2 linked regions of the Drosophila melanogaster genome follow. Changing the gene in region 1 together with any one later gene gives a genetic interaction. Each region holds a gene or a part of one and is shown in the gene's direction. Other genes may lie near its edges.

What was found. Genes that interact genetically often act in the same process or in processes that back each other up.
Region 2: of sog (region 1) and fw, changing one enhances a phenotype caused by changing the other (phenotypic enhancement), as found in Drosophila melanogaster (one study listed by BioGRID).

The regions. Positions count from the first base shown.
Region 1 is NC_004354.4:15,629,646-15,636,264, reverse strand, and holds the start of sog (short gastrulation), read left to right. Parts: upstream 1-2,830; 5' UTR 2,831-3,456; intron 3,457-6,619. UniProt on the Drosophila melanogaster protein: Putative negative growth factor. Antagonist of dpp, a protein involved in patterning the dorsal region and in the development of the neuroectoderm; dpp inhibition is enhanced by tsg.
Region 2 is NC_004354.4:11,999,728-12,006,235, reverse strand, and holds the start of fw (furrowed), read left to right. Parts: upstream 1-2,321; 5' UTR 2,322-2,489; intron 2,490-3,716; 5' UTR 3,717-4,139; coding exon 4,140-4,308; intron 4,309-6,508.

The DNA.
Region 1 (6,619 bases):
TTTTAAATAGCATTTTAGTTAACTCCATATTGAAATTAATATTAATCTTTGGCAATTATGAGTTAAGATAACGAAGCCGCTTTTATGGTTTCTTTTATAAAAGTTTTACCATTCAAGATGTGCTGTAATCCGAATTTGCCAAGAATTAGCCATTGTTTGTTATTAACTACTATTGTTTCTTTTTTTTTAGCTCATTTTGATGAAATGTTTGCCGTGCAGTGGAAAGAGCAGCGGCTACACAATCAACTTCTTCTATTCTTCTATTTTTCTCTGGCAAGATCACGCGCCTCTATGCGATCGCTGATAAAATTCTATTTTTTTTTAGCCCGTCTGTGTTTTTTTGTTCTTGTTATTTTTTCAACTTTTTTGCGGATTTATTGTGTTTATATTGTTTTTTTTTTTTGACAGCATTGCCGCCGAACTGTGGCCATAAACATTTGCATTCGCTTGGATTGCATTTATTTATTGAATTTGCATCATGTGCTGGGTTCAATTTATAGGTAGCTATATTCGCTATTTATATATATAAATGAAATATATATATATATATATATATGTATATCTGTTTATAAGGATAAGCCCCGCACGTGCCCCTGACTTTATGATCGCGTGCTGTTTGTTTGCCCGTCGCTCTTTGTTTGTTTCCTTTTCCGCCGGCTTGTTTGCTTACCTTGCCAACTTGTTTGCCCCCCTTTTGTATTGCCCCACCCCTCTTCCCCCACCTCCTATTGTGGCCCCCCTTGGACCAACGCCCATGCCAAAAGGCACTAATTGCCGCCGCATTTGCAGCTGATTTGGCGCTAAGCGAATGCGAGCTGCCAGGCAAATATTTATGGGGTCATTCCCGTCTCGTGTCAGCCGCTGGCCAAAAAGCCAAAACAACTAAAACAGCTTCAATATCAGCTAGCTAGTATGGCCCTGAAGATTCCAACCGAGTTGCTAATTTAGTAAATAACAAATTTGATAACAGTGCGAGCAACCTGGTTTATCTACTAATTGTTAGCCAAGCTAAGTGGCAGGGATTGGGCAAATTTTATTGCAAAAACTGATATAAAAAAGGTGAAGCCTTTTTGTCAATTAAATATGTCATTTGCTTTTTATATTTGCACATCTTATGGTGCCTGAAAATATTTTCATATGTAATTATTGAACATCTATTTCTTAGCAAGCTGAGGAGAATTATATCAGCAATGTCAAAATTATAATAATAATATTTTTACAGAGTATGCCAGTTTGTCTCGAAAGCTTGAAGTGCGATTTTGAATATATTCAGTACAATCAATTAGTAGCTTATGACACATTTTATATATATTATGAATATTTATAATATATTTATTTCTATTCAATGCACTTTTGTGCCAACGGAGCATTGCCCAATTTCCATCGAAATCGCAGCCATTTTCGAGCTTCTCGCCAATTTCCATCACGTTGCAGTCTCGATCGCTTCGAAATATATATGTAAGTTGGAAATTCAGAAACTCAGAAAAACAGAAATTCAAAAAGTCGGGACTGAGACTTTGACGTTCGATCGTGACAGAATATGAATTGAAAGGGAAACCAGATTGTTAGCACTCGACTATGGGTATAGAGATGGTAGAGGTACTGGGCATGTCCATAAGGTTGGATACCGTTGTGATAGTGTGTGTATTCATAGTTACACACATTATCGAGCCAGTGAAAATGTTCTACACAACTTTGCTATGCTAGTGACGACTATTTTTAGACGTCCAGCACCACAGCACTTTGTTGGCAAAAATGCAGTAACAAAAATAAATAACTTGGCCAACAGTTAGTTAGTTGTTGTTTGCCTCGCCCCGCCGCACTTTTTTTTTTTGATGGATCATCGCCGTCGTGACGTCAGCAAATGTTGTTTTGTTCGCTGCACCGAAGGCGCAAAAATATTCGGCATATTTGTGTTGATCTCTAGCCGTCAAGCGTCATGAAACGTAATGGATACAGCTCCTTCCGCCTGGCCACATCCACGGCATTGTGGGCTGTCCTAGGTTAGTTTTCACTGTACTCGAGTCGAGTGGGCGAGGCCAAACGCCTCACTAGCCGCCAATCCCGGGCACGATTGGGCTGCCAAGAAGCTTTTGGCTTCCATGGGAAGACAGCGAAAGCCTTTAAAATGCCAAGCTGCACTGGGAAAAAAAAAACAATGAAGTAATGTAATTGGTCATGAACGAAGCTTTTGTAAATATACGCATTAAGCGATTTCTTTAAAATATATATTTTTTTTTACTTATGTAATAAAACTATTTTAAACTGTTTTTTAAAGCTTATAAGTGAAAATAAGTTCCTAATTATTAGAAAACTCAAAAGTATTCATTATTCATTACTTTTTTATCCTGAAAAGTTGAAAAGGGTTTGCAAATAAAATGAATATGATGAGATATTATGATAAATCACCTTTAGTTTCTAATAAAGCTACCAAAAAAGCGTTCTAAAGATATCCCTCGGAACCAAATGTATCTGAAAGTCGTAATATCTTAGATCCTAACGTAATGCTCTTGGAAATGGCTTTCTGTGGCTACACATACACATACACATGGCTACACAGCGATTTGTCGCCGCCGTGGAGAGGAAAGAAGAGGAAAGGAGAGGAAGGGAGAGGAGAGTCCGCTTGGAGCTGTCTATGTCTATTTTGCGAAAGGGGGAGATGGTAAGGTGAGCGATGCCGGCGAGAGTGGGTGGCGACATTGGGAGCGGAGAGTGATGGCACCAGAGAGAGAGAGAGAGAGAGAGGGAGATCGAGTGAGAGAGCGAACCGCTATGTCTAGATCTAGGTCTATATGATTATATGCTGAAAACTTCAGTTTGTCAAAGATCGCGACGACCGAACGAACGACGCTAGAGAAACGCGCACCGAAATCGATGACCAATCCAAACGATAACGATTGCCAGCCCGCAGGAGTCATTTCGAAAATTGCGCGCGCGTTTTTGGCGACGTATTGCATATAAATCATATGTATATGTCCGCATATACATATAAACGAAACGAACATATAGAACATATATTTCCATATCTCGATATTCTATTTCATTGTTCATTGTTGCCCCTATTTTTTTTTTCTTGTGAAACGTATGTATGTGCGCGCGTCTGTGGAATGGTGCAATTACAGTCGTAGTTATTGGTTTTTAATGAACCTCTTAAATTGCCATTGAGGAACGTGAAAAGTGCCCGAAAGCCCGAAACGGAAATTATACTTTACACTCATGATTATTAGTTGTGGAAATTGCAGCTTAAATCGCCATTAATCGACACACACATATGGGCGTGGGTGAATCGTTAAATAGTACTCATAGTGATTGCACTGCTACACTGCGTTTCGGCATGTTAAGTCTGGCCGTTTTGAGAAGCAATAACTATTTAACCGAATTCTTCTATTGCCCTTTCAATAACTAAATAACACACAGCGACTTGGCAACGAAATGCTAGCTCTAGAACAGATGAAGGTAATGATAAGAGTGTCTCAACAAACAATACAATCCTGAAACGCACTGTACCTGCAACCTGAAAGCTCTTGCCCCTCTGGATTATAAGTCCGTCACTTTCGGTTTTAATGATCGCATTGAAATGGAATGTCATCGACCAATTTCAATTCTAATTCCATTCCGATTCCGATTCCGACCCAATATCGTCGAGATCGAGGCGACACACGCCCCAAAAACGAGACAATTACCCAGGAATGGGGCATGATTTCTTTTATTATTACTGTGTTTAGATCGAATCTGACGCCAAAAGGGCGACCTAAAAAAAAAAAAAAAAAAAAAACCAAGACAAGAAAAAACGTAATCACAAAGAATGGGAAAAATCAATCGAACATCGAACATTCGATGCGGACCAGTTGCAGAACGGCAAAGGGGGCAGATCGGTGGATAGCTGGGATAGATAGACAGATATATACATAGATATATAGATAGATAGATCGATCGATCGATCGGGCGATCGGGCGATCGGGCGGTCGGGCGAATGATGAAATTTCCAGAGCGTTTCAATAGCAACCGGCAACAGAAAGAAAAAGCAACACCGACCGACAACGAACCATTTACAATTCCAATCGAATGGCAATTGTTGCCGACTTGCAGCATGATTCAAATCGAGGGCGTGACAGAGGAAATGGGGCGGGGGGTAAATACCTAGATTACCGTACTCGATGACGCAGCCCAGGTATGTGTAGGTACTCTCGATCGCTTGAAAGTCGACAGATACTCGCAGTATCTAGCGACAGTGATGAAGAGTTTAACTGCGCTCGGAAAATCCATCATTATCATGCCGCTGATATGATAACCAACCATTGAAATGGCTAAGCAACAATCTGTTAGTAAGATTGTATGGTGTTTTATTTCGATCATTAAGCTAAACTAAAACTTCCATCACTTAGTTCAAACTTTAGCTTGTCTCACGAATCCCATTCCGTCCATCAATTGATCAAACAATCGATCGCCGGATCGTTTGAGTTTGTTTGATCGTTCGATGATCGCGACAACAAGAAGAAGACGACCAAAATTTAACGATGTTGGCCAGTTGGCTAACTGCGGTTTTACTGCCACTTTACGTGCTGCTGTTTTGTCTGGCAAACAAAACATTCGCACACACATGACACACACACGGCACACATGACGTATACGCGATATTTTTGGCCTGCTCTCGCACAGAAACAGAAAGACATAGTGCGAGTGCGAGTGGGACGGGTGGACTGGCGAAGGGAGAAAGAGCTACACGGAATCTCTGTTGCTAGGGTGGCAGTTTGTATGGGGGGTTAGTCAGCTTATAAATAATGGAATATCATCTAGGTGCTTTCTGAGTGCCGCAAACTATGGTGAACTTTCGTACGATGGAACCTCCGGAAAATTACTCAATCGAATCGCACACAAATTTCCCGGAAATCTTATATTTCATTTAATGCTTTTAAGATTTTTTTAAGAACTTTGAACTTAGTAGTTGGTCTCCTTTCAACCTATTCACTTTTAATTTGTCCACTGTTTCTAACTGATTCACACAGATGTCTCAAATGATTGGACCTTCTGGCTTCGATGACCATCAAATCAATTGCATGTGACTGCAGTGAAATAGTACTCAACCACACACGCATAAGTGCATATTTATGTAGTACACTTGAAGAAATTGCATTGAACAAATAATTACAAAAGGAAAAAATATTTTAGGCAGTACGATTTATGGAAAATGCAAATATTTCTAGATTGAAAAAAAAACTTACTTTTCAGCTGTTTTGGCTGTTTAAACTAATGAAACACACCAATATTGATCTTCAACGTCTCCGAACTGTTTTTCGAAATCAAGAAAAGAGAATTTTCTCTCAGTGTGCGCATACTTTCTGGCCTGTTATGCAGTCAAAAGCCGTCACTTTGCCGCTTCTGTTTCATTTGATGTCTTTCTGTGTGCGTTTGCCGTTCGCCATTTGCCATTTGCCATTTAAATGAATGCAGGCAATTTTGCGCTGGTGGCTGCTGTTTTTGCTGCTGTTGTGATTTGCTTTTGATTGGCATCTAATTTATGATTGACAGTTACATTAGAAACATCTCGGAACAGCAAACAATCAGAATCGGGCCTACCGCAAGATCTCGCCAAGGCATCGAAAAAGCATCGCCAGTTGAAGCATCGAAGAGCTGAGACCTTATGGTCGGATATCGACTTAGCTCACGGTTGTCAATCAAGCTATTAAATAATTTACAAACAAACAAACACACACGCGAACACACACATTACATACATATAAGCACACACACACAGCACGCACACATAGATGAGCAGCACACTGAGAATCGAATTTATGAACTAACATCTTGATTTACGTAGTCTTCGCTGGCTGAATGCGGTTTGAAGCTTTGACACCTTGACGGGCATTGTCAAAGAGTTTCACACTCAGCGGCACTCGCACACACCGGCTACTGTTCTATCGGATTACGCGGCGTATGCGCAATGTGGCCCGAACGAGAAGCGATCGAGTATCGAACTGCCAGTTAAGGCGGCAAGTGGAAAATGCAGTTTATCAGTTAGTCAGTAAGTCAGTCAGTCGCTTAGTCAGTTGGGCAGTTAGCCAGCTGGTCAGTTAGTCGCTAAGTCGGCTAGTCAGTCTGTCAGTTAGTCAGTTAGTCAGTTAGTTAGTTTGTCAGTTTGTCAGCCCCCACAGAACAAAGTTGTCTGCCCGATATAGGCCACAATGTGGGGCTGTAAACAAAACTTGAACACTCGACGGAGCACTGACATAACCGCTCTGCAATCGACTGATAAGAAACTACTATATAATGTATATAGATACATATTTATATATATACACATATATATATGGGCTTGCAATTGCCTGGTAGGTGGGTGCCGTAATATTAATTGCCAATGAACCGCGAATGGAAAGGGGGAAATGAATCTGTCAATGGAAATATTATTTTGATAATGAAGTAAGGATGGAGTATTTAATTATCAATTTTGGCCTTATTACTTAAATGTAGTATTAAATGTAATGCAGTAAATGTAAAGTAGAGAACCAAAAAGTTACTTTTAATAATTTTTTGGTGTTTTTATCTACACATTTTCTTTAATTTGGTTGCAAAGTCTTCCCAGTTAGTTCAACGTGACCTTCTGGCTCCCGCTTTTCTT
Region 2 (6,508 bases), 3.6 Mb from region 1:
AGCTCTTATTCAAGTTGGCAAGACGTTAAGACGTTGATTAAAATGGTTAGTACGGTAGGTTTTGTTGGCCACTCTTTTGTTTAGCCCTCGATTTCAAGACCGCTGAATTGCTTTGTAGTTGTCTTTGCATTTAGCAGTTAATCTAGTTATATCATTACATAAAAATGTTAAATAATATATGCCAACTGAAGCATTGCAATGCTGCTGGCTCAAAAGACCATAAACTGACGTCAGATGGGTGAAAAAAAAATAGGGGGACTGTTTTCACGTCGAAGATGACGACAAAGCCTGGTCAACGGACCAATGCAACTTTGCGAAATGTTGCGGAATAATGATAATAAATTGTTAATCATGCGCAATGTTGGATTGAGAATGAATCGAAAATGTTACGTTGACAGATATGCGATTTCAAAAATTCCGCTTCCCACAAAAAGCTGAGAAATTTGACTTCCCTTTTCCGCTAGCTGAACTATAATCGCCAGTTTCGTTTATAGATTTTTCTTTATAGTTTCAGAGCTTCGTTTTTTGTTGCCAAAATAGCACTTTGTCATTGCGGTATATTGAACCTGGAATTAGGACAACTATAGAAATAAAATCCGAAAGTCCGTTCGTCACCTTTTTAACTTGTACAATTTGCCACAGTTTGCGACTTAGAACGTTGGGCATTGCCAATTATCGGTATTAAAACAGAATACGGCTACTATTATGATCCAGTTTTAGTACGGGTTTTAAGTCGCACTTCTTTCATTAACGTGTACTCGGCTTGGGTTACTTTGCTGGGAATCAACTAGCCAGCGAAGTTTTGAAAACGTGGAAGCCGAAGTTTGTATACCCTTTTCCCAAAAATTATAACTACTGGAGCTAAGATTTTCAGTTAAGATAATTCTTTTCTTGTGATAGAATATTAAATTGTGTTTAAAAATAACCATTTTATGGAGCTTTCGAGTTAGTAAACTTATAATTAAACTTATGATTAGGCCAACATTTCTAAGAACAAAAAGGGACACAAGATTAATTAGCAAAACTTGTTTGATGCCAAAAGAAAGACTGTTTCTGATTTTGGTCACGCGCCTTTTCGCCCCCGCTAATTGCGAAATTTACCCAAAATTTTTTATAGCTTAGCCATTTTGGCATCATAAGTTTATACGCCATATACAATTCTAAACAATCAATCTATCCAAATACGGACTTTCTAAAAAGATTCTTTCCAACAGATAGATAGATTCCTGAAGAAAGGTGCGGCTAGCATCTGGTGGATATGGAAAAGCGCGTTTTCCTTGATGGATCGGATGAACTGCCTCGGTGGAGGGGGCTGAAGGGGCAGCGAAGGTATAGTATATAGCGTATGGAACGCTTGGATCGGATCGACTCTCGAGCGAATTGTGTAAAGCTCTGCGATTGCGCATATTGTGTTTCGCGTTGCGTCGGCAACGACGCCACAATGCAAAGACAGCCAAGCGACCAGCGAAAAGCAACCGCCATTCGTCGAGCGGTAAATAAGGCTACTACACTGCGAGAAAAAGTCACAATAAAAACCAAAATATATGCATTAGGATCTTCCATCAAAACATGTTAGTTAGCACTTGTAAAATGCGCACAATTACAAAAATAAAGAGAAGTTGCAAGCATAATATATAAAATATTACATATATAATTACATCTAGACTTGTGCAATTAAATAACTTTAGATTCAGAACCGATTGAGTGGATAACTGTAAAGTTCGCTTTCGGATCGAAGTGATAAGAAAAGTGTGGGAGAACCACAATGTTTTCTAAGTTATCTGCAAGCTGCTTACTTTCTGCCGTTCCAGAATGTGTTAACTATTTTGCGAAAATCTAGTAACTTTTGAGAATGTCTTTGTTTGTCAAGTGTAAGCGGCGAACGGTCAGCCAAGCAAACAACCTACCACCAATCAACCTCATGTTGGTGACCATGCACAATGGGCGCTACTGAGCGTATTTTCCATTTTGGCCAGCTTATTAAGTGGTTCAACTGAAATGGGTAACAAAAGCTGTATAACCTTGGAAATATCGGGAGTATTGTACTGGAGAAAATTCTGTAACTATATAGGACCTTATAGGAATAATAACTTATAAATGGTAAAAGCTCCTGTTTTCATCCCATGGTTGGTTCCATTGGCGAGTCGTCGCTGCACATGCGCAGTTCGTGTCGCATGGGATCGTATGGCGTCGGTTCGGTTCGGTTCGGCTCGGCTCGGTTCGGGTTAGTTCGGCTTGGTTCGGATGGATTCGGCTTGGTGCAGACTGATACTTGATACAGCTTGGAGTGTGGTTCGTTACAAACTTCTGTGGGACATTAAAACCAGTTATAAGCCAACTTTCATTCCAAGCAGACGTGCTGGGAGTTTCGCATCGGAAAGCGGCGGTTTTTTGTTTCGCCGTTGCAGTAGCAACAGCAACAGCAGCAGCGTTAACTCGTGCAAATGCAGCCAGGTCGCCCAAAACGAGAAATAAGTTCACGTTCATAGGTATAGCCATTAATTTTTCCCATTTTCCTCGGCAATCCAATTCAGCCGCAAACCCAAGCCGCGCTCTTTTCGCCTTTTTTTTTCTATATTTTTTATATTTATTTTTATTTTTTTCCTGTGTGTGGTTACTGTTTTGTGTATATTTTTGTTTTAGTGGTTTTCATAGTGTTTCTTTTCTTCTTTTTTTTTTTTTTTGTTTGTTTTTTGTGTGTGAACTGGTCAGAGATTCAGTGAGTTTGCTTGTCTTACAGCTCCCACCCAGAAAAAACGGCTAAATCCGGTCATATTGAATCATGGCTGAGATATGAATGTTAGCAGTTCACGATTTATACGTACGTATGTGCACATACACATACTATATATGCAAATAATAAAATCGGGAATGTTTCTGATCGAGTGTTGTGCTTGTGTGTGTGTGTGTGTGTGCCCCAATATTTCTAGTTCTCAATCGAGCCAAAAAAAATAAAAACCGTGTACTTTCACACACAACTCAAATTAGCACCAACCAAAATCGAATTAGAGTGCCCAAGCCGAAACTTTCCTAATTCTCCACCAGAGGCTATATCCACAGTAGCCGATAATTAGTGAAAGATATTGACATACATATATAAGATAGTGGCCTGGCTCTCGCACGAAAGTTGTACCGGATGGTACCCAGTTTCAAGTTTTCAGATCCATATCCCCGGGGCGAAGTGAAACCAAGTCCCAGTGGGTTCTGTTTTTTTTTTTTTTTTTATAGATTTATAGATTGGTAGTAGTAGTTGCAACCTTGAAAGCAACACCAAAACACAGCACTCGCCCTCGGGCGATTTCGTTTGTTTCTCTTTTATCCATACCATACCATACCATACTTTACTATATGTAAATGTATCTATATATACATATATTTCATCGAATGTCTGTGGCTGGCTTATTCTTTCGAATACCCATGGCATAGCCGGGCAGCCCCCAAAAAGGGAAGCCATTTAAAGTTTACTTTTACTTTTTCAATCGAAGCAATCGAATGGAACTGAGTCGCTCAGACGGCCAGACAGACTGTAGATGTGTATATATCTATATCTATATAGTTATTCATACATATGGATATGTATATATTAGCTAGCGAGGTATGGGAACTTAGGAAAGCGGTTGAATTGGACAGGTGAGGGTGAAGTCAACGGCCGACAACGAATACTATGTTTGTGATTATCACGATTATTACAATGCGCCTTGGTTGATTTTATGCAGTATCCAATGCTATATGTAATATACATAAAACATCATAATTAGCCAGTGGAAATTCAGTGTGAATGCAAAGTGAAACCTTAATGAACGCATCACGATCGCTCACGCCATCTATGTGTTATGTTTATGTGCAAGTTTTAAAACAGCAAAAAATTATTAAAAAAATAGCGAGATAAATATATATACATATGAATAATCGACAAGTGTATGCATAAATTAATCGCTGCTGATGCCGCAACAACAACAACAACAAAAAACACCCCAACTGAAAACAACAAAAGCTAAAGCTATATAGCCAAAGCTAATGCTAATCGGCAGCCAACGAACGGCATCGGGCATTATAATCATCAACTTCAACTTCAACATCAGCATCCCGGGCATTGGAAACAACAATACCAACACACCTGCCACCAGCAGACAGACACAATGTTTTGCTGCAACATACCGGTGGATGCATCCGTGGCCACATCCACATCCACATCCATATCCACATATCCATTGCAACGGGCAACAAAAAGAGCCATGACTCCTCCAAATGCAATGGCACTCATTATGCTACTGCTGCTTGCACTGTGCGCAGCTGGGAATGGCCAAAGTAAGTTCATCCCATACAAACATTCAGTTGTATTGACCCCAATCTATATCTAAATACATATATAAGACTCGTAATATTTTCCAATTATCACCTCTAAACGGGGTCACCACGCTGAGAATTTCTCAAGTCGTCGTTTGTCCAAGTCGTTCTTTGTGATCTTGGGAAAGCGCCAGATGCAGCTTCAAGTTAATTAAAAACTCGATTTATGTAATCATCGGGTAATTTATTAATCTGTTTTAGGCCAAACTGGTAGAGAGCATACCAAAAAAAAAAAAAAAACACACACACAATTCTGAGTTTCAAAAAAAAGTTGGTAAAGGTAACTTTCGGAATCTGTATACCATAATCAATCTTCTCAATGAAAGAGGATTTTTGGAGAAATGCAATCATTTAAAATCATAATGAATGTAACAATCAGTAAGATTAGAAAATGTGTACAAACTCTGAATAGCCAAATAGTTCTAGCCATGATAAAGTTTATGTGAATTTCTATTTCCATACAAAGTCCATAATAATGATCTTTCAGTTAATGGGTTGATTTCAATTAGAGTTTGGGCAGAGACATCCCAATTACTGTGAGACATAAATTGCCTTATGGCCCGTTTCTTCTGTTTCTGTTAGTGTTGCTGTTTGTTTGTTTGCTTCGGCCGCCAAGTAAAATGGGGCTAACTCTTTTGGGTCATTTGGAGGGAGGGGCGAAAAGAAATGGACAGCCGGCTGGAGTCGAGCAGTGAAAGTTTCACAGACGCAGTGCCTCGAAAGACTGAAATGCTCAAAGACTCGGAGACGGAAAGACTGGAAGACTGGAAGACTGAGAGACTGAACGACTCAGTGGTTGAACGACTTCTGCGACAATGTGTTTGAGTTGGGTTTTAAGTTGGCTTGAAGGAAGGCACTTTGCTTGTGACATTCTTACTTCAAAAGTTTCACAAGTTCACGTCGTGCAATACGTGATTGCGTTTGTACATTTCACCGTTTGTAGATTTACTAGCCAACAGTTACAGGTATCCATCCATCCATCCACTCACATATGTATGTAGTTATATATTTAGGTATTGCGCCCTCTTACGTGCGCTAAATAACAAATTCCCTTGGCGATTTGCGTTTGATTATCAACATCGCCAACCGATGTTGTCACATCGGCAATATGGGGCACCTTTCTAATGAGCCACAATACCCAAATATTGGCAAAAGCTTATTTTTTTTCTACTGAGCAGTTATTTTCACATATTTATGTGGCTTAAAAATGCTGATATTTGCGCAAACTATTTGTCAGGTAGAAAAAAAAGTTTTTAAATTTAAGCCTGATTTCGAAACCATTTCTTTTTGAGGTCTTTGAACGCTGATTCCCCCTTGACTTTAGTTTTTCGAAGGTCAGCCATGAATCACAGACCAAAAAAATCTTGTTAAATACGCAACTTTCGCACCAACGCACAGTGGGAATAATCAGGACTTTTTGTGTAAAAAATACACAAATTTGAGAAGGTAAAACTTTTCACTGCCTAGTACAACTTATCAGAAGTAAATGAGGTTTAGTATGAAAAATGTAACTACTTCTTCATTTTAACCAGTTTTCCCCCTCTTTTTTCCACTGTGCGTGGCTTGTAGCATAGCTATAAATGTTTAAGGCATCCTTCCAGGGTTCTCATATAAAGAAAAAAATTGTCAAAAACCTGGTTTCCTTCATTGCTGTTCAACGATCCACGCCCTTTCAGCATTTTTAGCTTTCGGAGGAAGGTGGATGGTTGAATGGAAGGAGGGATGAATGGATGGATGGGGGGATGTCTGGGAGTGTGTAGGAAGATCATTGACACCAGTAAAACCGGATGAATGCGATTCAAAACTCATAACAATAACGGCTCTTTGGCGGTTGGGAAAAAATAACATCATCGAGTTCAGCGAGCGCAGCTGTTACCATTTTTTTTTTTTTTTTACCATTACCATTTTACCATTTTGCGAAAACTCAAGACTGACTGCCATCAACAGCTGCAGTCGAAAGAGAAATAAAAGCCAATTTCGATCTGAGAAACCTACGTATGCAAAATAAGTAGGAGATCTACCGTTTTCAAATTCGATTTGGACAGATTTCGAGGCAGCTTGTGTTTTTTTTGTTTTTTTTTTTTTTGCCAAAGCCTGAGAGTTGGTGAATGCATATAAATACGTTTGAATTCACCTGGCTTGTGCATCTTTTTGGGAGATT